2 linked regions of the Tamandua tetradactyla genome follow. The protein of the gene in region 1 purifies or fractionates together with the protein of each later gene. This does not show direct contact. Links are inferred from orthologs where the notes say so. Each region holds a gene or a part of one and is shown on either strand. Other genes may lie near its edges.

The links.
Region 2: the proteins of USP33 (region 1) and ROBO1 purify together in Homo sapiens (affinity purification with western blotting; 5 studies listed by BioGRID and IntAct, with this or other methods). This does not show direct contact. The link is inferred for Tamandua tetradactyla from reciprocal best matches to the Homo sapiens genes USP33 and ROBO1.

What each region holds. Positions count from the first base shown.
Region 1 is NC_135337.1:47,720,220-47,736,329, forward strand, and holds the start of USP33 (ubiquitin carboxyl-terminal hydrolase 33), read left to right. Parts: upstream 1-6,892; 5' UTR 6,893-7,124; intron 7,125-16,110. UniProt on the Homo sapiens protein: Deubiquitinating enzyme involved in various processes such as centrosome duplication, cellular migration and beta-2 adrenergic receptor/ADRB2 recycling.
Region 2 is NC_135336.1:68,135,146-68,151,255, forward strand, and holds the start of ROBO1 (roundabout homolog 1), read left to right. Parts: upstream 1-5,683; 5' UTR 5,684-6,196; coding exon 6,197-6,251; intron 6,252-16,110. UniProt on the Homo sapiens protein: Receptor for SLIT1 and SLIT2 that mediates cellular responses to molecular guidance cues in cellular migration, including axonal navigation at the ventral midline of the neural tube and projection of axons to different regions during neuronal development.

The sequences.
Region 1 (16,110 bases):
AGTAAAATATACAGATAAAAATGAAAAGATAAGTGTTGGCAAGCATATGGAGAAATAGAAACCCTTATACATTGCTGGTGGCATTGTAAAAGGGTGTAGCCTCTGTGGAAATCAGTCTAGTGGTTTCTCAGAAAGTTGAAAATAGAATTACTATATGACCTAGCAACCCCACTTCTTGGTATATTCCTGAAAGAACTGAAAGAAAGTAGGGACTCAAACAGATATTTGTACACCAATATTTATAGTGTCATTATTCCCAATAGCCAAAAGGTAGAAGCAACCCAAGTGTCCATCAACAGCTGAATGAAATAACAAAATGTCGTATATATGCCCAATGAAATATTATTCAGTCATAAAAGAGAAATGAAGTTCTGATGCATGCTAAAATTTGGATGAAACTTAAAGACACCATGTTGAATGAAATAAGCCAAATACAAAAACACAAATACTGTTTGACCTCTTGAATGAAATACCTAGAAGATGCAAACTTCATAGAGACAGATAGTAGATTATAGGCTACCAAGGGCAGAGGTAGAGGAGGGAAGTAGGAGAGAGAGTTATTGCTTAATAGGTGCGGAGTTTCTGTTTGAGGTGATGAAAAAGTTGAAGTAATAGATTCTGTTTATGGTAGCACAATATTGGAAATAGAATTAATAATACTGAATTGTACACTTAAAGTTGGGTAAAGTGCTAAATTTTGAGTTGTATATATGTTACTACAATAAAAAGTTAAAAAAAATGAATAGGATCTGTAGAAAGGAGCCTTCCTAGGTTCCATCCCTTGAGTAGTCAATCGACAAGTCTACTGATTTTATCTCCTAAGTAGCTTGCATAGACATCTCCACTGCCATCTCCTTTAGTTCAGGCCCTTATCTGGATTCTTCAATGTCTGCCTCTACTATCTCCCTGTCACTGCCATAAAAGGAATCTAGTTGTAAATCTCATCATGTTGCTTCTTTTCATACTTCCTTTCTCATCATTTTCTTCATGTTTTCACTAGAGGGTAAACTTTACTTACGACATGGACAAAGTCACTCATGATTTTACCTCTCTGTCACTCTACCCCCCACTTTCAATCTCTACTCAGGCAATATTGAACACTTTTAGGTTCACAAGGGCACCATACTCTCTCTTGTTTCTGTGCCTTTGCCTATGTTGTTACCTCCACCTAAATTATCTTTCTTCCCCTGGTCCATCAAAAATCTTCTTATTCAGCCTTAAGCTAGCATTGACTATCTATGATACTGGATCTCTCTTGCCCCCTCCTTTTTTCCTTGGAAACTTCCCTTCCATTCACCCATTTATCTGTCACTGGAGCTGTCTAGATATTCTGCTGCTGTAGCTGAATGTTCCTGGGCAGACATCTGACTCATATGGAGATAGTGTATCCTTTCTTTGAAATTTTTTTAAAACTAGGGATCCTGCTTTTGGAGAAAATTCTAAGATAGTATCAAAGAAAAAATTATACCCAACAATATTAAACAGGCAAGGATGACTTTACTCAAAGCTATATGCAATAGGAAAGAGAGACTAGAAGACTATTGTGGGGAGAGAGAAGGAGAGAGAGAGAGAGAAGAAAGTTATCACAATAGTGGAGAGAGAAAGGGCACATCTTCACTGATGCACGAGAGCTAATGGAAGAATACTGGAAGGAGGGATCAAGCAATGAAGTGTGTTGATTGCATGGAGTTATCTCCTATAAGCCAGGTTGAACATGTTTGTGCCAGTTTGAAATTGTTATGTACCCCAGAAAAGCCATGTTCTTTCAATTCTGATCCAATACTGTGAGGCCAGACCTATTGTTAAGGATGGAATCTTTGGATTAGATTACTTCCATGGAGATGTGGCACATCCAATTGTGGGTATAACCTTTTGATTAGAGGGAGATGTGACTCCACTCATTCAAGATGATTCTTAGTTAACTGGAGTCCTTTAAAAGGGGAGACAATTTGGAAAAGCACAGCTGCTTCAGAGCCAACAGAGACGTAGACATTTAGAGATGCTTGGAGTGCCAACAGAGAGACCAGAAACCTAGACATAGATCTTTGGAGATGCAGAGCCCAGCTGACTGACATTGTCATATGCCTTTCCAGGAGATACTTAAGCAAGCCAGAACCCAGAATTTTGCCCTGGAGAAGCTAAGTGAAGCCCACAGAAGCTTAGAGAGGAAACAACTAGAATCAGGAGCTGGAAGCAACGGAACTAGGAACAAGGACCAACAGATGCCAATCACATGCCTTCCCATGTGACAGACATCAGCCTTTCCTTTGGGGTCAAGATATCTTTCTCTAGATGCCGTAGTTTGGACATTTTTATGGCCTTAGAACATAAACTTGTACCTTAATAAAACCCCTTTTTAAAAGCCATTCCATTTCTGATACATTGCATTCTGGCAGCTTCAGCAAACTAAAACAATGTTCTATCTGGATTCTGTAAGGGACTAGGAGAGGGAGGTCAGGGATCAAGAGTTAAGAAGAAGCCTGAGATTTAGTCAAACTAAGGAGAAGTTAAGGCCATCCTGGTCAGTTACACAAAAGAAAGGGAATTTCTTAAACTTTGCTGTTTTCTAGGATTGCAGGATTTGGGTAAAATTCATCATTTTAATGACAACCCAAGAGGTGAAAGATGAAGAGATCATGAGAGAGTCCTAGAAATGGTTGATTCTTTGTTTCTAGTGATCTTTCCCTGGATTCTATGAGCCAACAAATACCTTTTCTTTTTTTCACCTAAGACAGAGCACCCTTACTGATATGTGCTTCAAGTGGGTTACGGGCCAAGATAGTGATCCATGCTGGAAACCTCTCATTGCTGGCATTCTTGTCTGTTGATCCTGGTGTATTATCATTTTCTGTCTGTGCCATGATTTGAAAGAAGTTTGAAAAGCACTGGCCTAAACTGAAGCAGTGGTATGAAACTGGGGATGTTTTAGCATTCCACCCCCACTCCCGACAGGAAGCATTTGGCAATGTCTAGAGGCATTTTTGCTTGTCACATGGGAGATGCAGTAAGGAGAAGGGTGGTGGAAGGGAGCTACAAGCCTCTAAGGGTAGAGGACAGAGATATGGGTAAACATTCTACAGTGCACAGGAAAGCCCCCATAACAAAGGATTATCCAATCTAAAATGCCAATGGTACCATTTTTTTTAGAAACTCTGAGCTGGAGTTACTCTAAGAGCTAACAGATGATAACTGAAACTCTTGGCAGAGGCCCTGAAAGTCAATGCCAAGTACCCCCACATCCAAATCAAAGGTAGTAGACTACCCATGGAGTGGGTACTTCTCCATTATCTCAAGCCAAATTCAAGAGAACCATTTGAGAAATATGATTCCCTTGGAATCTTAGAGAGACAAGGCCTGGTAACTGACTCACATTTGAAAAACCCTAAGTCAGGAGTCTGAGGCTTCCTCCAAGCAGAAGATGTACACAGAACTGATTAGGAATAACCTACACTTCTGAGAGAGGTGCATGTGTCCTTATTGTGGGCCAGGTGAGAAGCCCTGGTAAGAGAACAGATCTGGGTCATCTTGAGAAAGACAGTTGAATTGGTTGAGACGAAGCTGACTCAGAGACGGTTCGCTGGAAACCAGTGAGGCTGAGGTGAATGTTATAAGTGGCCAGCTAGAAGATACATTGCTGAGCTAAGGGAATGTGGGTTTCCCAGTGATGCACCTACAGAGGCACACCAAAAGAAAAAGGTAAGCTTTGGAGCTCAGTTATACCCAGAGGATGCCAAAACCAGGCTAAGACTTGTCCAGTCCAGAAAGATCCTTTCTGTTCCTAATTTTCTTCCCTCTCCCCTTCTCCAAATCTGAAGGGGCCCAAAATGAAAGTTGCCCTACATAGCAGAAGTAGATCAAGTTGAGATCATGGCAAAGAATTTTTAAACTCAATGAGTCTGGGATTTTTTACATCATGCTGAAAAGGCTTTTTTAATAACTGGTGGAAGAAGGGAAGACAAACAACCATTTGCTTATTACAAGAAAATGACTGGAGGACCTTTTAATTACTTGAGAAAGCCTGGATAAGCTAAGGGCCTTGCCTAAGATTTTGTCCTAGGTGTAGGGAAGGATACTCAGAGATTATCAAGGACAATAATGAGGAAGAAGAAAATTGGATTCTGTTTGCCCCCTACCAAATCCAGTTTGTTCATTGAATTAAGAGCAACAGTTTGATTGAGCTTCTGCCACCTATAACCAAAAACATATAAAGCCTCAGTTTAAATCAGGGTTTCTCAAAATTTGAACTAATGACACTTTGGACTTTGTTTCTGTCACAGTAACACGAAGAAATGTGATTAACTCCTTCCACTGGTTGGCTCACCCCAACCCAAAGAGACATTGCCAAAATCACCCCAAGTTGAGAACCTACAGATATTTGAGTTCTTCATTGCTGGGCTCTGGAATATTGTGAAAAAGGCAGATATGGTATGGCTCTTGTAGAGCTTACAGTTCAGTGAAGGAGACAGGTAAAAATCAAGTGTATAAAAAATCTCAATATAATTAAAATATGTATAAATTCTCTGAAGGAAACAAACAGAATTATGAAATGGGAAATAATGGGGTGAAGTATGCTATATTAAACTATGAATGGCTCTTTGAGGAGTTAGCCAAGTGAATGAGGGATAGGGGTTGGATGTATCTGGTAAATGTGTATCTGACAGGAGGGAATCACATTCGCAAAGATTTAATAAGTTTCAGGTACTTGAGATCAAAATACATGTTTTGTGCATTGCTGTATTTACTTGCCATTACTCAGTTCAAACACGAGAAGTTTTGTTTTGCTGTTCCCATTAAATTTTTCTTCCTTCTTGTCCTCCCTCTTTCTCCCCCTCCTACTTTTCTCCACTTTCCTGTCTTCCCGCCCTTCATTTCTTTTCTTCCCCCCTGCACAACTCGAAGGTATACAATTCATATCATCTTCTACATGAATGGCAGCACCCGAGAATCAATGTGGGACTCAGCTAGGCATCCACTCTCCTGGGCAGAGGCGTTAATTGATTTATTTCCCCCTTCTTATAGCTGGTCAAGAGTCATTGTTAGAAGAGAAATAAGGGTGGGAAGGGAAGGTGGGAGTCCATGGGAAGTTAAAAGTGGTAGTGGTAGTGGATTGTTTTAGCATGAGTGTGCCTTGTGAGGACTAGAGCTGATGTTCGGTGAGAGGCACTTGTCCAGGTACCAGCCGCACCTGCCTTGAGCAGCCATCGTTTGCCTTCCTTGTGCTGATAGTAACTGAGAATGCCCCCAGGACAGGTAAACCCAAAGAAGATTTACCAAGCAGGCGGTGGGGATTTTTGGATCGAACTTAATCTGCCAGAACACTGTAAGAACAGGACACCCCTGATATATTTTCAGAGCAGGAATTTCTGGACAGGTGAGTTTTGTCTATTTATCTATTTTTTTCCTTACTGATTGTGGAAATATAGAGAAGTTATTTGTACATGAGCTCTTTCTCAGTTATATATATTCCAAATATCTTCTATTGGGTGGCATGGTTTTTCTTTTCTTAATGATATCTTTTGATACAGATATGAGTTTTTGTAACTCCTAATTTGGGGGAGCAAAATTATTTAGTGATGGAAACATTCCCAAACCTTTTTCAAAACGCTTTATCCATTGCAAAGTTTCCTTTAAAAAAATAGTTAACTTTCTTGCTTCTAAAAACATCACTTTTTCTTTGAAGCCATAGCTTAAACAAGTGCATTTTAAAAATTTTTGTTAGGTTGCAGATTGCTGACAGCCACCTGTCATCACAGGAGAAATTAGCAAATTTAGAAAACGTTTTTCTAAGAAACATATAAAGCTCTCCTTTAAGTTAAACAGCTCTTAAGTACTTGGCCACGAAACAGCAGAAAAAAAATGATTTGCCTGTCTCTTTATGGAGGAGTATAAATATTTAAAACATTCAATGTTTGATTTTTTGAAATAAAATTAACCACAGTATTGACTTACATATACTGCAATATTTTGAAAAATGCTGAAAATGAAAGGAGGAGTGATAGCACCTTGGGGAATTCTCTGAATTGTGAAACTTTCATTCTCCCTAAGTGAACCCATTTGTAACGATCTGAGGTCTTATTGTCAATCCCTATATAGAATGTTGGTAAGGGTTAATTTCTTCCCTTTTACAATAAAAATAAATTTAAATTGAAACTTCACAATATTTTCTACCTTGTCTTGATGGAGATTGAGCATCTTGAGCAACACTTGAGTTAATGCTCCCATTTTGGAGACCAAAAAGTTAGAAAGACAGATTGAAGCTGGCAATGTTTAACAGTAATGTTTACTAATTTAACTGTTTTTAGTGCTCACTATTCAAAAATCACTTGAATACATTTTTACAGTTACAAAATTAGAAGACCGGTCTCTTGTGATGCTCTAGGCATTAAGCAGATACTAGGGTTTCAATAAATACTTGATATGATCTTGATTTTGGCTTAGGGAAACTGATAGAGATAAATATCTTTGCAGAAGTTCAAGAGGGAGACACAACAGCTTTTAGAGAATCTAGGTCCTAAAAGGTTGGGAGAAGAAAAAGGAGAGGGAGGAAAACAGTGCTAAATTTAGATAAATCTAGTATTTATTTATTTAAGGTCGGAAATCTGAGGCCCTTCGGCGACCAGCCTTCATGCAGGTTCTGTAATTCATCGAAACAAGGCTTTATAACGGTTGTAGTGTGAATGTATAAGAGGGGGAGAAAACGTGTAAAATAAAAAGAATGCCCAGAGCCTTAAACTGCTCTGCGCTTGAAACAGTATCTATTCTCCTAACTGCTTCTGAAGTTCCAGCTGCGCGGGCTGATTTCAGTGTCCGTACCTGGGCCGGGCCTCCATGTCCGGGCTCCGCCCACAGGGCGGGCTCTCCACCTGGCCACGCCCCTCCCCGCCCTCTCGCGACGCCCCAGACGCCTGTGGCGACCGCCGGGCACCGGAAGGAGTCGCGGCTGTTGCGGGAAGTGGCTGGTTCGGGCGGAGGGGATCCCGCGGGTGGCGCCGCGAAGCGGTTTTTCGGCCCTCGGGGCTCGACACCGCTCCACTTCGAGGCCAGGGGAAGAAAAGTGCTTGCGGAGGGGCGGCCTCAGGTCACCGTTGGACGCGCTGGCAGGGCCTGAGGGGAAGGCCGTGGAGGTGAGCGCGGCGCTGTTGGGAGGGGCGCGGGGCCGAAGGGCGTCTCGCTCGCCTCAGGGGGCCGGTCTCTGCTCTCTCTCCCGCGCGCGGGTTATCCGGCTTCTTTTTCTTGGTCCGGGGGTGATGGTGGTCGCGCAAGCCAGACGGAGGCCTCGGCTTCTTAGTCCTGTGTTGCTGGGATAAGCCGTGGTCGGCGGAGCACCCGTGTCAGTCGATGATTTGGGGAAGGGTTCCTAGGGGCGCTCTCCTGGGAAGCGGGAAGGGTGAGGCGAGTGCCGAAGAAGGGCTCTACTCTTTGCCGAGTCTCGTCCCGGCCCCCCAGGGTCGCTGGCCCCTCTTGGTGGGCTTAGACTACTGAAAGCCGTTGGACGCGCCAACTCTGGTTCAGGTTTCGCTTTGCGGCGCAATCGGGGTCTCCGTCCCGATGTGGTCCCAGCGGCCCCGTTATTCATGGTTATGAACGGGAAAGCCTAGGTGTCATCGTCCCTGGAAATTAATTTTCTTTTACCAGTGTTTGATCCTGACTGTTGCAAAGATTACCCTTATCGCACCTTTTGTTTGGGTCAAATTTCCATGGTGTGTGGTTTCCCAGACCGTTACTGTTAAATGTTTTCCAATTCCAAAACGCTATTCATTTGAATATCTACTGGGTGTAAACTGAGCTTTGGATGAGATTATTCTAGGTGTTTTAAACTTAACTGTTTTGGGCGTCCACATTCTCCTATGATCAGTATTAGGCCTGGAAAATTGAGCCAGATGGTGAAATTATGGCAGGAACATAGACTCTAAACTGAGGGTGAATTTTATCACAAGAATTCCGAGAATTCTTGCTAAATAAATCTATGAGTTTGTTTAATCACATTAGTTCATCTTAAAATTTTTGTTTTGGAAAGTAATGAGGCTGTTCCAATTCTGATTCTGGTTGAGACAGGGCAACTGTGTAATCTGGAAAGTTTTCACTAAATCGGATTATCATAAGAGGTTATTTTTTTCGAATTTATAAATATTGTCAGTTCATATTCTTACTATAAATAAGGGGATTAGTAAAGACTTTCTTTTTTAATTTTCTTTTTTCTTTTTTAATTTTTTAATTAAAAAATAACAAGCAAACACATTCTTATGATCATTCTGTTCTACATATATAATCAGTAATTCACAATAGCATCACGTAGTTGCTTATTTATCATCATGGTCATCTGTTAGAACGTTTGCATCAATTCAGAAAAAAGAAATAGAAAGACAACAGAAAAAATTTCATACATACCATACCCCTTACCCCTCCTGTTCACTGATCACTAGCATTTCAATCTAAATTTATTTTAACATTTGTTCCCCCTATTATTTATTTTTATTCCATATGTTTTACTCATCTGTTGATAAAGTAGATAAATGACCATCAGACAAAAGGTTTTCACAATCACACAGTCACATTGTGAAAGCTGTGTCATTATACAAGCATCTTCAAGAAACATGGCTACTGGAACACAGCTCTACATTTTCAGACAGTTCCTTCCAGCCTCTCCATTACATCTTGACTAACAAGGTGATATTTATTTAATGCATAAGAATAACCTCCAGGATAATCTCTCGATTCTGGAATCTCTCAGCCATGGACACTTTATTTTGTCTTGTTTTGCTCTTCCTCCTTTTGGTGGAGAAGGTTTTCTCAATCCCTTGATGCTGTCTCAGCTCATTCTAGGATTTCTGTCCCACGTTGCCAGGAAGGTTTACCCCCCTAGGAGTCATGTCCCATGTAGACAGGGGGAGGGAAGTGAGTTTACTTGTGTTAGCTGGAGAGAAAGAGGCCACATCTGAGCAACAAAAGAGGTTCTCTTGGGGGTGACTCCTAGGCCTAATTTGAAGTAGGCTTGACCTATCCTTTGTGGGGTTAAGTTTCATATGAACAACCCCTCAAATTGGGGGCTTAGCCTATTGCTTTGGTTGTCCCCACTGCTTGTGAGAATATCAAGAATTCAACTTAGGAAAGTTGAATTTTCCCCCTTTCTCACCATTCCCCCAATCTTGCAAATACTTTTAGTAAAGACTTTCTTTAAAGACTGCTAATTTTAAGAAAAAATAATAGTAGTTACAGTGTGCTGGGAGCTTTAGTTATTTCATTTACTTTGCCAGGATTGAAAATAAAAGAACAGTATGAAAAAATACCCCAGAAATAAAGTATTTGAGCTCCTATTGTGTGTAAGAGGTATATAGTCTATTAAGGATAGCTGCTTCTTGTTTTTGGTCTGGTTTATTGATAACTTTCACTTTTTTCTGTCCATTCTGAATTGTTTATAATTTATGAACAAGCAAGTCCTTTTTATATAACAGAGCAGTTTAAAGGCTTTAGATTGTGCTAAATAGATGCTTTCAAATACCTGAAATTCAGAGTTAAGGAAATAACTCATAGTTATGTATTGCTAGTAGAATTTCCAGTGACCTTTCACATATGCAGTCATATTTGATCCTCTTGCCAGTCCTCTGAGTTAATTATGTTAAAGTAATGTCTTTCCTTGTGACAGCATTTTGCGATTGTGTAAGGATCAGAATTTCTCTAAAGCCTAAAATCTTGTTGAAGCTGTCTTTGAAATAAAATGAGATTCAGATTAAGATATTGTGAACTATAACAGACCCTGGGCTCCTCACAAGAAAATGAAATACATAAAATGGTGAAAGATTATTGGTTAAAAAAACAAACGTATGTTAAATGTAGTCATTTTTAAAAAAGAATTAGCAGCTCTATTTCTTTAGTGTTTAAAACATTTTTAAATATTATTTTAAAGTGCAAGAGATTTCAGGAGCAGCTTGGTAAGTAGAAGAGCTGCAGAGAGTCTGAGATGAGTACATTTTGTTTCTTTTAACTGTCTTTAAAGAGCATCATGAGTTATGTACAATGTAGTATGTATATATTAATGAGAATGAGTATTTAAGAAACAACATGTGTTTCAAAATAAATGTCCTTTCTAGAAGTAACTTTAGAAGGCTAAATATAAATAGAACAATGTGAGTTTACCTGGACAAGACCCTTTGGAAATAAAAAGAATGAAACATGGTTTCTATTGTTGAGATGCTTTATAGTCAAGCTTGAGGTCAACATATGTAATATTTTACAAAACTACAGTAAGTGCCTTCTGAGGGTTATGGATTTCTTAAGGAATTTAGGTGAGGAAGATGCTGCTTGTGGTTGGGGCTTAGTGGAGATGGCATTTGAGAGGAGTGAGCTTCTGAAAAGTTTTCAACAGATTGGTATGATAAGACATTTCTAATATGAAGAGATTATGGAGTTCCTGGGAAGTTAAAGCATCATTAGAACAATTTGGCTGATAATAATGCATGGTTTATGTAAATTAGTGAGAAGATAAAGAAGGGCCAAATTATGAAAGATCTCATTGAAGGTGTTTGATAATGAGAGGAATGTGAATCATCTGAAAGCAAAATGGGCTGTAATTGTTATCAAGAAGAGAAGACCATTTGACTATCCTTAGGATAGCAACATCAGTTTTGTGGCCCTTGTGGTTTCTTTGAAGTCCTCTCAAGTGTATACCTCAAGGATAAGGATATGCATGCAGGTGGAATTGCAGAAACACAAGTGAAGATGTGGGTAAAGTGATTAGGGGAAGGTTAAGAGCCACCTGGGGGGCTTAATCCTGTGGAGATTTTTGTAGAACTGTCTCAGAATTATCGTATCATGTGAAGGGGAATTTGGGGGTGGGAAAGAGAGTAACCACCTACTCTTGACCTTCACTGATTGAGATTACCCCTGAAAATGCCTGATTGGACAACTGCTAGTTATCCTGAGCTGAGCAAAGTCCTGAGATGCTGGAAAATTTAAAAGAAGCAGAGAAGTGGTTGAGGTGTGAAGCTGTCACTGCCTAGAAACAAGATGCAAGTGAATACTGAGATGACCTAAATAAAAGCCTCAATTTAGGTAGATATGTAGAAGAGATATGAAATGAGGCGAAGTGATGAAGGCAGAGCAGTAGAATTTGGTAACTAGTGGAATATGGAAAGTCAGGAGGAAATCTAATATGGCATTGAGGTTTGGAAGTTAGGTAACTTGTCAAGGGAAAGGGTTTTCAGAGGGTCACTGATTTTCAAATTAGGTATTTCTTGAAAATCAAAGAATTGGTAATAGAGTAGAACATGAAAGACTAATCATTCAAAAAGAAAAGGATAGGGGTGGAGACTTGAACAGTGCTTCCACTCCCTCCAATTTTTATGGTACCTAATCCATACTTGATTGGAACATTCAAGTGTGCCTTTGTTAAATTAGTCTCTGTATTCTCAGGGTTTAGCATAGTCCTGAAATAAGTAATATGGTAAAAATAAAGCACTATATGTGACATGAAGTAAAGAGGCCATTTTTCTATTGCTCTTAGCTATTTCTAAAATCTAGGAGGAGACATTTCTAATAGTTTTAGTGGAGACATTATTATTTTTATTTTTTTTAATTAGAAAAATTGTCACATGCCTTTTTTCTATACATGGTGCACAATCGGTGTCTCACAATAGCATCACATAATTGTGTATTCATCACAGTGATCACTTTTTAGAACATTTGCGTCACTCCAGAAAAAAGAAATTAAAAAACCAAAAACTCACGCATACCATACACCTTACCCCTCCCTCTCATTGACTACATGTATTTCCATCTACCCAGTTTATTTTACTCCTTTCCCCCCTATTATTCATTTATTTATTTTTATCCATGTTTTTTACTCATCTGTCCATACCCTCAGTATAAGGAGCATCAAACACAAGGTTCTCACAATCACATAGTCGCATTGTAAACATATCTTTATACATTCCTCTTCAAGAATCTAGGCTACTGGAACACAGCTCAACAGTTTCAGGTACTTATCTGTAGCCTTTCCAATACACCATAAAGTAAAAAGGGATATCTATATAATGCATAAGAATAACCTCCAGGATAACCTCTCAACTCTGAAATCTCTCAGCCACTGAAACTTGATTTTGTCTCATTTCTCTCTTCCCTGTTTTGGTCAAGAAGGTTTTCTCAGTGTCTTGATGGTGAGTCCTGGCTTATCCTAGGCTTTCTGATTCACATTGCCAGGGAAATTTATATCCCTGGGCGTTGTGTCCCACATAAGAGGGAAGGCAGTGAGTTCACATGCAGAGTTGGCTTAGAGAGAGAAAGGCCACATCTGAGCAACAAAAGAGGTTCTCTGGGGGTGACATAATTTTAAGTAGACTTAGCCCATCCTTTGCAGGAATAAGTTTCATAAGGGCGAACCCCAACATTGGGGGCTTGGTCTATTGATTTGGTTGGCCCCACTGCTTGCGAGAATATCAGAAATTCTCCAGATGGGAAAGTTGAACACCTCCCCCCTTCTCCCCATTCTCCCAAGGGAACACCACAAATACTTTCTTCACTGCCCAAATCACTCTGGGATTTGTTGGGGTATCCTACCAATCTGTACAAGCCAATAAAATCTCCCTATTCAAGATTCTGTGTACTTACGGTGTCAAACTAAACTGATCATAAAAGTTAAATTAGGAAATGCACTAACAAAATATAAATTTTGCACCAAATAAACATCTTACCTTTTTAGTCTCATCTAGAAGTTGAGGTTTTAAAATATGGATATCATCCTTTACCCAAACTTCTAGTATACCTTAGTCCTATCCTTATCAGCTTCATTCATATATCTAGTTGAAGTCTGATCCCTTCTTCAGCTTTTTAAACAGTTCCTGTATGAGGTATTGTTCACTTTCACAGCTTCAGGGCTCTATTTCTGAGTCTCAGGTGTCACATAAGTACCCAAAGTTTCTGGGAAAGACCATGTTATATACAAACAGCTCAGTACCTCAGAATTTATGTATGTGACTGCTGTAAGAGCTTATAGTCTAGGACACTTTACAATAAGCCCCAACCTGATAACCCGTGCTTGCGACTTTAGTTCACTGAGTAGTTTTTATATTATAGTTAGTCCATATGATTGAGGCATGAGAATATTTGTCTTTTTTTCCTGACATTTCATTCAACATACAGCTGTTAAGATTCATTCACCTAGTTGCATGCCTTACAACTTCATTCTTCCCTGTGGCCGCTCAGTAGTCCATTGTATGTATACACCATAGTTCCCCTTTCCATTCCTTAATCGTTGTGTTCTTAAACCACCCCCATTCATTGTGGATCAGGAACACTGCCACCATAAACACAAGTGTGCAAATGTCCATTTGTGTCTCCACACTCTGTTCTTCCAGGTATATTCTGAGCAATGGGGTTTCAGGATCATGTGGCAAACCAACCCCTAGCCAGTGGGGGCATTATTTAGATGACTAGACTTTGATTGTTTTTATAGTCATCAGTATTATAATTTGGTGAAAAAAAAAGAAGATTGACAATTTTTCTTAGAATGATTCTCATTTGAATATGGTGACCATTTTTTTTTCCAAGTTTTTACATGGTCTACGTAAGTATTTGTAATGGCTACCTCATAATACTGATGCCCTGCCATTTAATTACCCCTCCGTATTGTTCAGAAATGAGACTTTTAGGGTGAAAATTACCATCAGCCTGTTTGAACCATTATTAGAACTTTATCATGTTCTCTCTTCTCTTCCTCTCTCTCTTTCTCTCTGCTGTCATGGTGTCTGCCATAATTTTTTCTACTAGATGTGACTAGAAATTGACCATGCTTAACCATTTATCATTTTTATAGTATGTTTGTTTGCTAAAGCTGCTGGAATGCAATACACCAGAAATGGAATGGCTTTTAAAAAGGGAATTTATTAAGTTGCAAGTTTACAGTTCTAAGGCTATAAAAATGTCCAAACTAAGGCATCCAGATAATGACATACTGGTTCAAGAAAGGCCAATGTATCCAGGACACCTTTGTCAGTTGGGAAGGCACATGTTGACATCTGCTAGCTTTCTCTCCAGACCTGTCATTTCAAAAGGCTTCCAGGGGGCATTTTCTTTCTTCATATCCAAAGATCTCTGGCTGTGTAGGTGTTGAAGCTTTTTCCAAAATGATTCCTCCTAAAGGACTCCAGTAGTTGAATTAAGACCATCTTGAATGGGTGGAAATACATCTCCATGGAAACCACCTAATCAGAAGGTCTCACTCACAGTTGAGTAGGTCACGTTTGCATGGAAACAACTTAATCAAAAAGATCCCAACCAGCAATTTTGAGTCAGAATTAAAGAACATGGCTTTTGTGAGGTACACAACAGTTGTAAAGCAGCACGTAGAAATACGGGTTTTTTTCTTTATAGGAAATGTTAATTGGTATTTTTTACAGATCTTAATTAAGCTGTTTTCTCTGTTAATCGTTTTAGTTTCCTGGCTGTTAAGTCAAATACCATACATGGCTTAAACAGTAGGGATTTAGTGGCTCATGGTTTTGAGGCTAGGAGAAGTCCAAAGTCAAGGAATCATCAGGAAATGCTTGCTCCCAGAAGACTGATGTTCTAGTGCTAGCTGCCAGCAATCCTTGGTCTTTGGCTTATCTGTCATGATACAGTGCATATGATGGCCTCTCCAGGCTGTTCTTTGTGACCTTCCCTATAAGGCTTTCAGTAATAGGAGTAAGGCCCATCCTGATTCAGTTAGCTCACACCTTAACTGAAGTAACCTCACCAAAAGGTCCTCTTTACAATGGTTCATACCCACAAAAATGAATTAAGTTTAAGAACATGTTTTTCTGGGGTACATAGCTCCAAGCTACCACAATCATCTAATTATGTTGATGGCATTTTAAAAGTTTTGTATAGGACATATTAAGTACCCTAATACTCTAGTACCTTTATTTGAGTTAACAGAACTAAAGTGGATATATTCTTTTGTGTTTTACTGTTTTCCTATTTATAACTTCCTTGTGTATTTTCCATAGATATTTTTTAACTTTTTATTTTGAAGTAATTTCAAATTTAAAAGACAGTTGTAAAAATAATACAAACCTCACACAGAGAACTCCATAACAGTGCATTTCCTGTAAACCACACATAAATGGATCATGTTTTTTCATCCAGTCTGTCATTTGCCGACTTTCAATAGGAGAGTTTAGTCCACTGATATTTGAAATAATAACTAAGAAAGAAGAATTTATTTTGGTCATTCAACCATTTCTTTTCTGTTTATTTTATATATTTTTGTTCCTTAGTTACTCTGATTTCTTTAAAAAAACTTAGTTGCCTTTTTTTTATATGTTATATGGTGGAGGTCACATTTCATTCTTTTTCCATCTGAGTATCCTGTTTTACAGTGCCTTTTGTTGAATTTTTGTTTTGTTTTGTTTGTTTTTTTGTTGTTTGCTTACTTATTTGTTTTGGGAAGTGCATGGGCTGGGAGTCGAACCTGGGCAGGCAAGAATTCTACAGCTGAACTACTCTTGCACTCCCTAGTTGGTTTTTTATAACATGCCACTTTGATTACCTTCTTTCATTTACTTTATATATTTTAGTTATTTTCTTAATGGTTACCTTTGTAATTACCATGAACATTTTAATCTAATAATGACCTAGTTTGACAAGCATGCAGATTTTCTACTTCTGTATATCCCCATCCCTCCCCCTTTGTATTGTCATTGTCTCAGATTACATCTTTTTTAAACTTTTTTTATTAATTAAAAAAATTAACAAACAAAACATTAAGATATCATTCCATTCTACATATACAATCAGTAATTCTTTTTTTTTTTGAATTAGACCATATTTTTTTTTATTAATTAAAAAAAGAATTAACAAAACAATTAGAAATCATTCCAATCTACATGTACAATCAGTAATTCTTAATATCATCACATAGTTGCATATTCATCATTTCTTAGAACATTTGCATCAATTTAGAAAAAGAAATAAAAAGACAACAGAACAAGAAATAAAATGATAACAGAGAAAAAAAGATTATACATACCATACCCCTTACCCCTCGCTTTCATTTACCACTAGCATTTCAAACTAAATTTATTTTAACATTTGTTTCCCATATTATTTATTTTTACTCCGTATGTTCTACTCTTC
Region 2 (16,110 bases), on another chromosome or scaffold:
CTCCAAAAGACATTAATAGACAATGAGATAATAATCACTCATCCAATAAACACTTGTGTACCTATTAAGTGCCAGGCACTATTTTGGATACTAGGAATATGAGTGAACAGAAGTCATGAATCTCCTGCCTCATGTGACATTCTAAGAAGAGGGGGGAAATCAATGAAAACACATAATTAAATATGTCCTATCTTAGATGGGAATAACTGCCCTGGAGGGGGAAAAATATAAAACATGGAAGGGGTATAGAAAGTATTGTGTAAGGATGTAATTTTAAAGTGTGTGGTCAGAAATGGCCTCTCTAAGAAAGTTTTATTTTGTTAAAACCCTAGGGAAGAGAGAGCATAGGTTTGCAGATTTATGGGGAAGAGCACGTGCAAAAGCCCTGAGGTAGATGCTTGCCTGCTATGGTCTGGGAATAGCATGGAGACTATTGTGGTTGAATATAGCAAGAAAAGGCAAGCAAATGTAGGAGAAGATGATGTCAGGGAAGTAAAAGGGACCAGCTCATGTAAGGCCTTATAGACTTCTGGAAGGACATGGGCTTTCCCTCTGAGTGAGAAGTGGAAACTATGGGAGGGTTTTGAACAAAGAGAAAGGCTCTGACTCAGATGCATGATTTAACGGGTTCACTGTAGCTGATCTACAGTGATCTTTTTTTGTTTGTTTGTTTGTTCTGTTTTTTTAATATATATTTTTTGTATTTTTATTTTTTTCTCTATATTATCATTTTATTTCTTTTTCTGTTGTCTTGCTATTTCTTTTTCTAAATCGATGCAAATGTACTAAGAAATGATGATCATACATCTATGTGATGATATTAAGAATTACTGATTGCCTATGTAGAATGGAATGATTTCTAAATGTTGTGTTAGTTAATTTTTTTTTTAATTAATTAAAAAAAAAAGAAAGCCTAGAAGTATTGTTACTTCAGTTAATGGACTTTCTTGATAAGGAATACTATATTGCTCATTTTAACACTACGTTTTCCCTTTAGTAAACTAGCTTATGCAGTTTAGTCAGGAGATTGAAGGTGTGAAGAGGTATGGGAAATAAGGGGTATTATTACAGAAGTATCGTAGTCTATAGACTGAGCACTGTGTACTAAAGAGACAGTGTCTCCAAACTATTCTCTCTTGGAAACTCTAACTGCTTTGGGAAAAACCTTACATTTGTTGAATGCAGAGTCTCCCAATTCTACTCCACCAAGGAACTTCTTAATTTTTTTATTATTTCCCCCATTGTGCTTTGGTTCAAAATAAGATGGGTTCAAGTTTAAGCTCTATGGTTTCTGGGCTTCTGAACTTTGAGTTGATCATTTACTTTCTGAACCTCATCTATAAATGAGATAATAATACTCATGGTGAAAATGCATGATCATGGTGAAAATTAGATCAGATAAATTTTGTTAAGGGCCCAAAATAGCATTTTTCAATAAATGCTACTTCCCTTTGTCCTCTCCTTTATCTTCAAAACTAACCATCTGTTAACATTAAAGAGATGAATTCTTGTGAGATCCATCGTTACTGAAACTTAAGTTTCCACAGTCAAAGGACCTTAGCAGTATAGATTAAAACATCTATGACGTCCCCAAGATGCTAAAATGCTAAACAGCAAGGCAAGTACAGTAAGTATTGGGTATATCATAGTTGACACTTGAATGAGTCTTGGAAAACCTGAAAGTGGAGTTCACTGTTGGGTGAGGGGAATGGGACTGTTTCATCATTTCCTGGTAACTGTACCTTAAGTCTTAGAAGTAAGTGAAGAGTGGTAACCAATAAATCTCTTCCTCCTGTGGTTCCTGATCCCGGGTCACCTAATTCTGTGTCCTAAAATGCAGGCAAACAAACAAAAGCAGTGCTCTTAAAATGTACCTTGTTCACATTTGAAAGAAAGGGTCTAGATAGACTTTATCCTATTTCCTGAATAGGAATAAGATTACACGCACTTTAAAATCTTACCTAGCATCTTTTTCTTTTCTCAGTACTCTAACCCTAACTTATTCCCCCCTTCCTTGCACTCCTATTGCACATAAAATCTCTATTCCATTGTGTCAATTTATTGCAAGGGATTTGTTGCTATCTCGTATGACATCTAAAATCAAGCCGGGCACACAGTAGATGTTCCAATAAGTGTGAATTTATTTTCTCTTTATTAGGGTTACTTCAGGGTAGTTTTTAAAATGGAACCTTCCGAAAGTTAGAAAATTACTCAAATATTCAATTATTCAACTTAACTAATTGATTTAGAGGCCAAGGGCTGGGCAAATTATTCAGCAATTTCATGTAAAAATGCTAAGCCATCTATCCTGCCCTCCGGAGGGGGAGTAGACGACACAGCTTTGGTTGTACTATAATGTGTCATGCTCACCTCAGCAGACCTGCTGGAACTTCTGGCTTGAATCCCAGGCACAATTTGGTTCTAAGAGTTCTTGCTAACAGGTAAAGAGAAAGAAATACCCCTGTTTGCATTTTCCTTAGGAATTCCACTCTGGTCTTCCTGATCTAGGTAATTGGGATCGGGAATTCCTGGAGAGCCCCTGGGGGTTGTGGTATTTCCTGAGTTCCTGCAGCTACTACTCCTATGAGAGACAAAATCAGAGCAGAGCGACCTCAAGAGATCTTTATTACTCTAGAAGCCCTTATTCACAGGACTGCTGAAGAGTGTTATTTCAGGTTTCCTCGAAATTCTCAATGAGACATTTTAGGAGATTTGAATGTCATAGATTCCAACAGAAATCAGAGTTCTAGATAGGACTTCTGAATCCATCACTCATTCAGATCATAGTGATCAGACATGGGTTCTTGAGGTCAAATTAAAATACATTCACCTTAGTTTGCTTTACTCTTTACTCTTTCTTGCATATAGTTGATGTTCACTAAGCATTTGTTTGCATTGCCGAGGGTGATGAGTGAAAGGCAGTAGTAGGGAAACTTATCAGGTACACTAGGCCTTCTTTGTCATAATATATCCTTAAAACCTTCTGAATACAAATTCTTGTCTTCAGATGTGACCAGTTGTGATCATTGTCAGAAGAGTACACTTTGGATGGGACTAGGGAAGAAGAAAGGGCCAACTCTTGGGTTGGCCAAGAGTTAGTTCCTTGAGGGTTCTTTGCCTAACTATCCTACATAACTTAATCTCTAGGGGGTGGAGCAGACTAGTTGGAGGCAAGAGATGTTGCTTACTGAAATTGAGAAATAAAGGGGAAATTAAGATAGTTTCTATCCATTGACAATGAGATGCATGGTAAAAGAGATCTTGAGATATCTTAGCAAACTTCTGGAGACAGAAGATCTACTTTGGGGACACAATACAATTGGGATCCCTTACACATATTCTACCTTATATTTTAAAGTTTTACTAAGTGAAAGTTCGAGATCTATATTTAAAAATGCACTCAGATCATATGACAATTTGAAGAATCCTTTCTCTCAATGAAGTACCATGCTTTAACTTATTCATTTTTTATTTACTAAGTAAGCAGACATATCTTAAAAGCACATCTTGGGCAGTGCGATGGTTGGCTCAGTGGCAGAATTCTCGCCTGCCATGCTGAACACCTGGGTTCAATTCCCAATTGTATGTTTTTTACTTAATATGTTTTCACAGAGACCAAATCAATATATATTTTCCAGCATTCACTGTATAGTCTTGCATTTATTGCTAGAAAGATTTTTATTGGAGTCTTTGAGTTCTTATCTCTAGCTTGTTTACTGAATTTCCAGTCAGCTTTCTCAGGATTAAACTATCACATTCAAAGATATGTGTTTTGAAGGAATTCCTTTCCACAGAATGTGACTCTGAGGGCTTTGTTTGTAAAAGGAGCAAACAAAATGAATGTATGATCCGCTTTTAAATTTTTCTATTTCATTATATAATGCATGTATTCACTTAAAAAAAAAAGAAAGAAAGAAAAAATAATAAAATCACAACATATAAAAAAGAGCAAATCCACCCAGTTCCACTTGTCCCGCAATTATTCTCTCCAGAGATGACAACAGTAAGCATCTTCTGGTATATCCTGTTAGATAACAAATTATGATTTTGAAGTTGTTGTACCTAACTTAGTAAGTAATAATTTACTAAAAAGTAAAATAGCTTTAAGTACCATCATCTGCTGTTTCTTGGGCACTCACCATGTGCCAGGTGTTTAACATTCAGTTTATTATTTAACAGAAAGAAAGAAAACGGAATGAATGGATGGATGGAGGAATGAATGTAAGAACGTCCATCAGGTGTGTCAGGTTCTTTTGATTTGGGTAAGATTTCTTAATACAATGAAGTATTTCGGGACACCCTATTTTCAGAAGAAGAAAACCTGGACTTAAAAAGAGTTTAATCAAGGTGGCATGTTCATAGAGCTAATGACTGCTAGGTGGGACTTAAAAGTCTGTGTTCTGGGCGTGGACACACGTGCTGGTTGGTTTTGAAAGGTTGAATGACTGCTCTTATAACCGCAAACTTTTGCTCGGGTGGTAGCCAAGATTGTTTTCCCGCATTTGTTCCTCTTCCTAAAGGCTTCCCATTGGTAAAATTCTAATATGCTGAATCTATAAAGTCAAAGTAGTAAATCTCGTGTGAAACATAGATTAGGAAAAGACTCCACGGCCCACCCCTGGAATTGCATAGCCTTTCTACATCACCCTCAACAATTACAATTTTAAATAAGAGGATTATTGTAATCGAGTGCCCATCTACTGATATGTTCTAGATAGCCCTCTTTCTATTTCCTGTCCTGAAGGTTTGATAGTTCAAATTTGATTTTTTTTTTTTTTTAACGGAGATAGAGCGGAGTGAATGTAGAGTTATTTGAGAGTTTATTCCAACCCTTGGAAGCGGTAAAGAAGAGGTTAAACTGGACCAGGGGAGGATTTTTTTTTTTTTTTTTTTGAAGTCTTTAGCTGGGAGGTTCCATTTGGAGAAAGGTGCAGGGGTGATAAGGGTGGCGAGAGAAACACGGCAAGTTCCCATTTGCTTGCATTTCCGAGCCTGAACAATTTGATTCTCACCTGAGGGCGCAGTTGGGCACCTCTGGCTTGAGGTTGGAAATATTAACGAGAAGAACTTGCCTGACTTGCGCCTGAGAAGGGTATAGAGTGAGGCCGGGAAAGGACTGTGCGGCCCCTTTAAGTATTCTCGGGCCAGGGAGGAGAGGGAGGAAACTGGGAGCCGCCGGGACCGTGGGGAAAACCCACAAGCAATTGAACCGGAGAGGAGGCAGCGTGAGAGCTGAAACTTCAGACCTTGCAGATCCCCGCGGAGCCGCGGCGGCCGTCGTTCCCACTGGCAGCAGCATCCTCCAAGCCCTTCGCCGGGGAAGTCGTGGAGGCCGGGAGCCGCCGCTTCACAGCTGCTGCTGAGAACCAGGGGTGCGGGTCGTCACCCCTCAGGAAGTTTGGGCTCCTGGGTCCCTCCCTTGGAGTTTGGGGTATTGCGTTCGCGCGCCCCAGCGGGCACGGGGCCGGGGACCATGGTGGGCGCCGCACGGGTCTGCGGCTGGGGGCGCCCAGGAGGTGTGCGTGTACCCGCGGACCTGCTGCTGTCCCCAGTGCCCGCTGCATCCCCTAAGTGATGGGAACAAGGGCCCGCCCAGAGAGCCGCTGTCTCCGCACCGCCCTCTCGCTTGCCCCCTCGGAGTCACCCAGGCACACCCCCGGCACCCTGCGCCGGTACTCCGGGGCTGCTAGCGCTGCCTTGGCTGCTGTTGTCGCCGCCGCGGGTGGCCCGTTGCTGACTTGGCTTGCCTGTAAGACAGAGAAGCACTTTTTGGCCCTCCCTTAATCCGTTCCCACACCCCAACTTTGCAGCCGCCGCGCCCGCGGCGCTCGGGCGCACAGTGTGGGGGCGCGCGCCAGGAGGCTTGGAAGACAGTAGAGGCAGGAAACCGCACAACTGCTCTTCTGCTTTGGCTCTTTTGTTGCTGGCTTTGGATGGTCCCTGGAAGTGGCCGAGCCTCCTCGAAAAGCCCGGGACCGGAGGAGGCGAGCATTGGAATTCTTCGTCCGAGAGGGCTCCGAGACAGTGACAAGCGCCCGGAAGGGTAACAAGTAATTGCTTTGAAAACTCCTGGCGGATTGACCCACGTTGCTTATATTAAGCCTTTGTGTGGGGTGTGTGGCTTCATAAATTTGGGGACCCCATTTCTACTTCCTCCTCTTGGCATGAGACTGTATGCAGGAGCCACCCGAGGACAATGATCGCGGAGCCTGCTCGCTTTTACCTCTTTGGATTAATATGTCTCTGCTCAGGTAACCCCGCGACTTCTTTTTTCACCCCTGTTCCGCTTTGCACGTCCCCTCCCCACTTTTCAAAAATCAACTCCCGAATTATTTGAACGACCTCTTCCTTCTAAGGCCCAAGGTCTCGTTCTCTGCAGAGTTTTAGGCTCGACTGTTCTTAGTTCGCACTTCGGGTCGCCCCTTTCTCCTCACCACCCAAAAATCCACCCCCGGAGCCTCCTCGCGGACCTCGGCTTCTCGCCAAGTTCAGGGCACTCCTGAACACGGGGTAACTGCACTTCTGAGCGCAAGGGTAGGAGGAGGCAGCAGTTGGCAGTGAGCTTGAGCCCCTTGGATGACCCAAAATGAGTTTCATCCACCAACTGGTTCCTTTGGGGAAGGAAATGTGGCCCGGAGACCCTCCAGGATTCCTTAACCTGGTCTTCCAATTTGCCCCTCCTTTTCCTAGCACTAGGGGTATTTAGGAGTTTAATGTAACCAATATCTGTAATTAAATTTGATTCTGAAAAAACGTAAGGAAATAACTCTTTACATAAGGTATAAACTAGCACTGCCTCACTGGTTTTAGAAGAAAAACAGGAGTTTGCAAGTATCGGAAAGGGGACAGTTTCTCGCTTGGGGATTCTCACTGGCAAGGGAAAACAGGGGACTAAATTTAGGAGTTTTAGGATTAATTAAATGTTCTAAAACTCTCCAAATGAAGTGTTAGAAAGAGCCTGCACTGGGATCCTTCTGACATAAAAGTTCACTCTGTATCTACAATTACGAATAGTTTTCTTACACTCCCTAAGAAACTTTTACTGTGGGTGAACTAAGCCACAACTCAACTTTTCTTTCTTCCCTTTTGGTAAATTCTGTTTTCAATCAAAAGTTTAAGGGATCCGATTTCAGGCTTTAAACACACGCGCGCACACACACACTTCCACACACACACACATTGCACATCAGATAATTTTTACAGATGCATACTAACCATTCACGTTCCATCAGGGCTGCAGGTTCAAATCATTCGATTTGCATAATTATGAAACAGTTTTGAAAGGTTGGTTTGAGGTTTGTCTGTGTGTGTGTGTGTGTGTGTGGTTTCTGGCCATCACTTAAGCTTTCAGCAAGGATTTTACTTAAGCAAAGTAGTTCATGTAATATGAACAACAAAAAGAAAGCAAGACAAAACACACCCACATCAGCTAAATAATAGCAAACAAAACCTTAAAAGAATTTCAGCCTGTGAGATGTGTTTCCTGGCTGAAAGTTACAAGGAACTGCAAGTAGACAACTAGACTAAATAAGAAATTCATTAATTTGTTATTCCTTTGAAGAAAATAGCCTCTGGTATCTCAAATATGTCACAGTGGATGAATGAGTAGATCAACTCCCTGGAACTACCTTTTCCCAGTTTCAACTTCCCCTTTCTATAAGGTAACTGTTTTTTTTTAAGTTTGAATATCTCAATGATTGAATAGTACCCCTCCCACCACACTCACACACACACACACACACACACACACACACACACACACACACACACACACACACACACACACACAGCCATGGATGCAAACCAAAAACATTAAGATCTGATCTCTATATTTGCTTCTCTTTGCTGTGTCTGCCCCTAGTTTAATTTACAGCTTCAGATACCTTTGAGATTATTGTTGATTCACCTTCTCAGTTAAAGTTTATTCACGTGTGTAAAGTGAAGTGTCAATGTGATAAATGACAGGAGGGGCAGATTACTGAAGATAGGGGGATTAATGGTCATTAGTCACTGTTTGAACTGAGTTTGTATATGTTGGGACATTTTATCATGGCTATAGATTAAAGATAGGATTACTCTAATACGATATCACTGAAAGCTGGTCATGTCAGTGTACACATTCTATCTTCACCTGGAGAAATATCTAGTTGTTATACTGTCCTATCAGATTTAATAATTTGAGTAGGAGGTACTATCTAAAGTTTGTAATTTGGGTACATCTGAGATATCTTTATAATTGAAGAGCTAAGGTATTTCTGAGTTTGTTTTGTAATTTAATTTTCTATTCAAGCCATTGATAGTTTTATAAGCCTAAATTTTTTCCTGCAAACGTGCTTATCTACGCCTGCCAAGCTCCAGACCAGAGGTGTCTTGGTGAGGTGCTCCCTCATATTTCACCTAAAACTTTTTATCATTCATCCAGTGACTTTCACTCATGCTGTGAATCTGGACTTGGAAGGCCTAATTATTGGGTTTCTAGAATGATTTTTTGGCAGTTTACTCTTTAAAGCAACACAATTCACTTGAATAAAACTACATAGAACTCAGATAAGTAACTAGAGTTGGATGTGCTCAACACACCTGGCCAGTGAATGAATGAAGTTTTTGAAAGATTGTGTTTCATGTCTTGCCTCAAGCCTAAAGTCACAGTCTATCACTTGTTAATGGAGTGTATTTAAGAGAAATGTAGCGAGCTTAAATAAATCAAGGTGTACTGAGGGAGTAACGGATCTTCAACAAGATTTAACCTGTAAAAGCATCGATTGGTTGGTTGTCAGGCCTTTTGATTTTCCGTTTAAAAAAAAAAAAGAAACTGGCTGCCTATTTAATAAAGTCCTGTATTTTTCTTCAAACAGATTACAAACTCCATTTGGATGTGTTGATGTCATACTGAATGCCAGATACTCATTTAAGAGTGTTTACTTTCTGTAGCCATTTATTTATTAACCTAATGCTATAATATATGACTATTTTTATTCCATGAAGCTATGATTTGGGGAAGATGTAGGTATTTCTAAAGCGTGAACTTTTTCATCAGTTTGTATATTGGTGTTTCTTTCTGTGGATAGTTAGAGGGTATTTTTGCGGGGATGGGGGGTGGGGATGGCAACTGAAGTAAACCTATGTGATCTCTTAGGAACTAATTCTAAGCCTTCTTCCTTCATAGACTCCCTCTCCCCTCAAATCCATTTGTTGAAACCTGCTTGTATGTGAAAAAGTTATTGAATTTCAGTTTAAATTTAGGATGAGATCTGAATTTCAAATAAAATGAAAATCTGCTGGCTCTTCTCTCCTTTTTCTTCTTTTTCTGTTTTTATATATGTAGGGGGTCACTTTTCTTTTGGGAAGAGGCATTTGTTTTTTAGATAAGTTTCACTATATAAGCCACTTTTCTGGGTCTCAGTTGTCACTCAACCTTTTTTTTTCTTTTTTGTCAAAATGATTTGGTAATTCCAATAAGACCAGGCTATATTCTTTAGAACATTTTTGTTCTATAAATATACATGTCTGAATAGTGCTATATCTTTAAAATTTTTTTTCTTGATAATGGGCTCTCGAACACATTTATATATAAAATGTCACATAACAGAAAGTTTAACCAAACTCTTTCCTAAGTCTTTGCTATCACAAATGAAATATTCTTGTGAGTTAAAGTGGTACGAGATGCTGAATTTCCAACCTACAATGACAGTTTATTATTATTAATCTTCACATTCAGCAGATATATGTGATTTAAATGCTAAGCAGCAGGAGTAAAACTAGAAAGAAATGTAGGGTAACCATTTCCCAGTGAAAATCATTAAGTGGTTGAGTCTTCATTTGGCATATTCTGTGTTGATAAGAGCTGCTAAGTAATATGTATGTTATTTTCTGGCCCTTATAAAAATGTGTAATTCTCAAAACAAAAATGCAAACTGCACTTTTAGCTTGGTTTCTTATAGGAGAATATAGGGAAATTAAATGTTGTCTTTCAATTTAAAATTAGGCCTGAGGCAATCTATAGGATACAATAAGAAATTTAGGAATAAGAAATAAAAAAAAAACTGAAAAGTAAAACCAGAAGCAGAATTCAGGAGAAGTGAAGTAGAAAATGAGATCCAGAATGAAGCCTGTTTTAAAATATAGGGAGGAGGTAGAGTGGAAACAGACAGAGAAACCAAATCTAAGTTCATTCTCTGCCTACACAGAGCACTAGAAGCAAATCCCAGAAATGGATTTCTGAAAGAAGAAGATTTATGAAAAGTTTGTATATTGAATATCTAGAACAGCTGTATAAAGAAGAAGCCATTTTACATTTTTAGAACAATGGCAATCTTAAAACATCTAAATCTTTGATAAATGGATATGATAGATTTTTTAAGCTACATTTAATAAGATTTTATAATATTTACTTCCTCCTTTTATAAAAAGAAGTGAAAAACTAAGTAATTATCTTCCAAATCATGAAATTTATGCTTAGAGAGGATCAATACTGTGTAAGAAGGAAATATTTTTAAAATATGAGGTCAAGTTCACGTTTTGGGGGACAGTAAGAAACTTTTCACTCACTTTATAATTATGATTATATTTGTTATAATATTATGAAGACATAACTATCATTTATCTTATTTAATATTCATAAGAACTTTATGAGATATGTACTGTTATTGATAAAATATGACTTTATCCTTATTTGTAATTGTGGAAACTACATTATAGAGATGTTAAGAACTGGATGAGCAAGGATTTGAACTGAACTGACTCTAAAGCTCTTAACCAGTCTTTTCTTAGTTGCAAGAGAGAAATGATGAATTTAAATTAGAAAGATTATGATTCAATTTTTTTTATTTTAAAATTTTATTTTCAAAAATTTCTGCCTAAACAAGACTGTGGTTTGAATAGAGAGTTTGGGAAAAGTAGTATTATTTTTGTGCCATTAAGAAAATGTTTAGATGACCAGACACGTCAATGAATTCTTTACATACAGCCAGCTCACTTTCAGCCTTTGTCACGGCTGCATTTTCTGGTATGCTTAGGAGACCGAACAGAAGTTGAAACATTCATTGTCTGCTGGTACAACAGAATATGGGGATTCAAGTTGTATTGTAGAAAATGAATGCCATTCTCCTTCATGCACACTTCATGCACACTTGAGGAAGATTTTGTGCTGAGTCCTACGGAAAATGATTGGTACTCAGGGAGAAGCCAGTGGAGAGACAATCTTCCCCCGTGGTTGTCACTACTCTCTCGGATGTGTCTGGGCTGGTGATTATTTAGTAGTGCAGGAGCCTCCTGCTTGACTGCTGTTCACAGATGCCTCACTTCATAGTTACTGATCATGGAAAGGTTGAGCTTTAATACCTGGTTGATCAGCTGGATGGAAACTACTTATACATAGCCAATAAAGTGGCCATCCTGTGGAGATCAAAAGGCCACCTCCTTTCTTTACCATTCTGGATTAACATGGCTTTCTTTTCCCCTTCTTCCACCTTCATCATTTTCCTTCTTACTGTTGAAGAAGAGGAAGGGAGAAGATTACAGTGTATAGGGAGATAGCTTTGATCTCCACTAATTTGCTTTTTCTTTCTCTGCCCCCCACCCCTCACCCCCAACCAAAAGGCTATTTCTATCTCTGGAAAGTGTCACGTTGCTTGCTTCATGGGAGAGCTTCAGCCTCATTTCCTTTCAGCCCAAATAGGCTGCCACAAATCCCCTTCTTGTGATTTTACTTGGCTTCCAAACATCTTATGACAATGTTGTTCCACACATAAAATAATATTTTGAACAGCACGACTGTGCATATCTTTCTGACTCCATTCAGAGAGAAAACTACCTCTGCAGTGTTCACAGCTGTCCATGGCTTAGGGCCAGAAAAGAATATCTGTTTATTTTATTGCATTTATTTACTTTATTATTTGGAAGAGTGTAGAAGGTAAACAATTGTATTAAATGTTTCAGATCACAAGTTTGATGCAAAGTAGTCTGTGGATTTAATGCCTGTCACTAGTTTGATATCTAAATGAAGTGTTAAAAGCACCATCACGGGACACAAGCAAGTGACAACAAAGCAGTGTGATTCTGTGTTAAGTAGCAATATATTCTTTGTATGTCAAATGATTGATTTGTATGCATATATATGAAATATTAAGCTTGAGTTCCTAATAATACAAGTTATTTTAGGAATCTATGTTTTAAGTCATGTTATACTGTGTCTTAAGTGGAACAAGGTTTTTACTAGAAAATAGTGCTTTAAGGCACTTCTAGCAAGAGCAGTTTGTGGGATGCTCTTGAGCTGTTTTGAAAGGGTATCAGGCTCAAAGTTTGTGCCACCTATGTTTATGCTCAACTCAACTGTGCAACCCTAAGAGCCATGGGCAATTGTTCTCAGTCATGGAAAAATCATGGAGTCCTCAGCATTTTCCCCCGAAATTATTTGCAAGGGATCCTACTTGAGAATACTAGAGATTTAGTTTGCTCACCTCCCCTGCCCCCTCATAGATTGTTCTTTTAATGTGAGGCATACATGTATCTTAAGAGTAATAAAATTGTCAAATATCACCATTTACTCTTTGAAATTAACTTCAGTTATACGTTATCTCATCAAGTAATTTAAAATTTTAGTGAACATAACAAGAGATAGTTGTGATATTACTGTAAAATTCTTTGTAGCACGTTATCTATGGTTATAATTTATGCACCATTATGGGAAAAATATATCAGCGTGGTAAAGTCATTGCTGGATTTTAGTAGAATAGGAAGATTTTAACTTTTCTCTGCTAAAGTGACTGAGAAGTATGGATGTCAGTGGCAATCCCAGCTAGAGCAGGAAAAAAAAGTGGGGCCAAAGAATAAGTGGATCAGGACCCAAATATGTGTTTCAGTATCCTTTGACATCATATGGTACTAATGAGCTACAATATGCCTCATAATTTGCTTTCTAAATTTAACCTGCGTACTGTTGTATTTTTATTTTAGTTTATGATTTTTTTTCACTAATGGTGGGCTAACTTTTATTTTGACTAAAGAAATGTTTCTGTCTGGAATTCCTCACCTATAAAATAAATGTACACCTTTTAGACTCATAGGTCTAAGGCTGATTTTGTTTACTCAGGTTTGATTTAGAAGGTAACCTTTATCACTCTGAAACTTCACTAAAATGGTGCTTGTCCATATAACAGAGTCCGTGAAAGCACATTTGTATGTGTTAACTACACACCTTTCAGTAGTTTTAAACTCCTTTACTTGCCTGGTTTGGGAAGTAATTTCAGTGTCTCCAAACCACTCAATTAGCAACTTGTCTGAATAAAGTAAACTAGCTTGTACAAGCTGTGGAAGATAAAACTCATCTGTTTTCCCCCCTCTTATCTCAAGCGAGATGAAGGTTTTCTAGCAATCTGGTATCAATTGTGGAATTAGAATTTGCTTAAATTAATGAAACTCTTCAGTAATGTGTTGCTAAAACCTAAACCTGTAGAGTGAAAATATAAGAGAGGCAGAACATTTGCTCTGATATCTGTGCAAAGGGAGAAGGACATTCACTGACAAGATAATTGATGTTAATACAGGTGTGTTAGAGTTGAACAGAAGCAGTGTGAAGATAGTTTTTATTTAGATTCAATATGCCCAGAGAGGAAAATAAGTGTTTTGTGTTTAGTCTTTTTTTCACTATGGGCCATTCAGTCTCAGGAAGTCATTACTTCTTAGGCACTTATATTCAAAATTGCCCTTTCAGCATTTTGCATTTGACATGTTAATATAACATTTAAATTCACATGGTTATTTGAAAATATACATTTATTGTACATGATAAGGAAAAAATCCAAGTGACCAATTAAATGGTGAACTGAAGCACTGTAGGCACAATTATAAACACTGACCCTGAAGACTAGGAATAAATAATAATAATATTACTAATATCTGTAATAGTAATAGTAATCATAATAAAGCCTAAAATGTACAAGGTGCTTACTATCTGCCCGGCAGAGTACTACATGCTTTATCTTATTGGAAAATTAAAGGCAACTGCCTTCGACATGAATGCATAGCTCTTATCTCTGTTTAGCAATGTAAGCAATGAGATTCAGAGAATTAAGCTGCTGCCTTGACTGGTCAGTCAGCTAGTGCAATGGAGTGAGAATTTAAAACCAGCCTGTCTGATCCCAGAATTCTTGTTTTTCACCATTATACGGACACACTAAAGTTAAATGAACACAGATAAAACAGTATAAAATATGGAAATAACAAGAGTAAACTGTTTTTTAATGAGGAAACTAAGTTGTAGTACCAAGCTGTTTTAGTTTTTTTAGAAGTTAGATTTTCATGATATCTGATTGTCTCCCTCTTTTCTGCTTGTAATATGATAACCCTCCCCCCCAAAAAAGTGCACCCCTGGTATCACAGAACATAGGGCACAGAAGTTTAAGTCCAGCCCCATAACATGGTTTAGTGGAATTTAGGGCTGTTCAGTTTGTTGAATAAATTAAAGTTAGAAAGAACCAGATCAATCAAGTTTTATGATGGTTCAATGTTATAAATAGTTTTCCCTGTGTAGGAAGCATCTTTTGAATCTAGGTTCTCTAAGACTTCTTTTGCCTTTTGCTTTTGAACAGTTTACTTAGTGATAAGATAATAATAGTAATTCAAAAACCTATTAAGCAGAAGCTTCATTAGAATCTGATGACTGTTCCTTAAAGATGATCCTTCTCAGAGGGCAACTTTTATAGAAAACTAAGTAGTATTAGTTAATGTGATTCCTGCTGGTGAAACCTTTGTGAGTCTGTAATAGCTATCAAAAACAAAACTGCCAATGATAGCCTTCAGAAATGATGTGGTTGTTTTTAGAAATGCTATTCGTTGCTTTTACTCTTTTAAAAATACATGTTTGACTAAGACTCTTCTAGAATATCTTAGGTATGATTTTCTCAGATGAACCCAACAGTCTTCCAAAGTAATTTCCAAATGTGTAGATGTGATGGTATATTAAATTTTCTTTTCTAGTTCCATAGTTTTGTGACTTTATTTAAGGCTTAACTGAAGATTGAAGCTTTTCCCAGTTCCTTATTTCTGACTCACTAATCAAAAGAGTATCACACCTAAAATTCTCCCTAAGATGAGACCTGGGTTCTTATTATTAAGGTTTTTACTCCCTGTGTTAAAATATACTTCATAATATTGCATTTATTTCTATATATTTATTTCCTGCTTTGCAATTAGTCATTCACTGGTGTTTGATAATGCTACTTGTTTATTATTATTATTATTATTATTATGTTATTTATCAATAACATTATTTCATCTCTCAGTAAACTGTTACTATCAGTGTCTTATCACTGTTTTATCAATCATGATAAAAGGTTATTATTAAGCAGCTGTCAACTTATTTTATCAGACATTTTAGAGAATGCTTCAAGCATACCTAATATGGTGTAAAAACTTGTAATACAAGATCTAGGTTGTATACACATATATGGACAGTAAAATGGATTTTGAATTATAGTAACAAATTCTTTGCTCTGTATGAAGGAAAGATGTTTTTAATATGGTGGGCAAAGGGAGAATTACATTTTGGGGACTGGTAGGTTCAGGGTACTAGGAAGAATCCTCCTGGAATAAGTAGGTTCCTAAAGAATATTGAGAGAGAAAGGATGGAGAATCCGTGTTGGGCTAGGGAAAGCATGTGAGAGATGTATCCAGGAGTGGTGGTCCAGAAGGACAATCTAGGTAAGAAAATAGACTTTATAACAATTGGTTAATACAGAACTTCTCTATGACATTGTTTTATTTTAGAGGACAGTATTTAATAATCTCATTCACTCTTTCATTCATTTAACCAAACTTTCCAGGCGATAAAACAGAAAAGAAAACAAACTAACAAACAAAAAGCTCATTCCTTGCATTTAAGGAAATCATGATAAATTACTGAACACTGTTGTTTCCAGCTAAAGCTGCTGGGATGCAGTATACCAAAAATGGGTTGGGTTTTACAAAGAGGATTTATTAGTTTACAAATTTAAGTTCTAAGGCCGTGAAAATATCCAAGAGGGAGTGACCTTCTCTGAAGAAAGGCCAGTGGCATCTGGATTTCCTCTGTCACATGGGAAGGGATGTGGTCAACATCTCTGGATCCTTCTG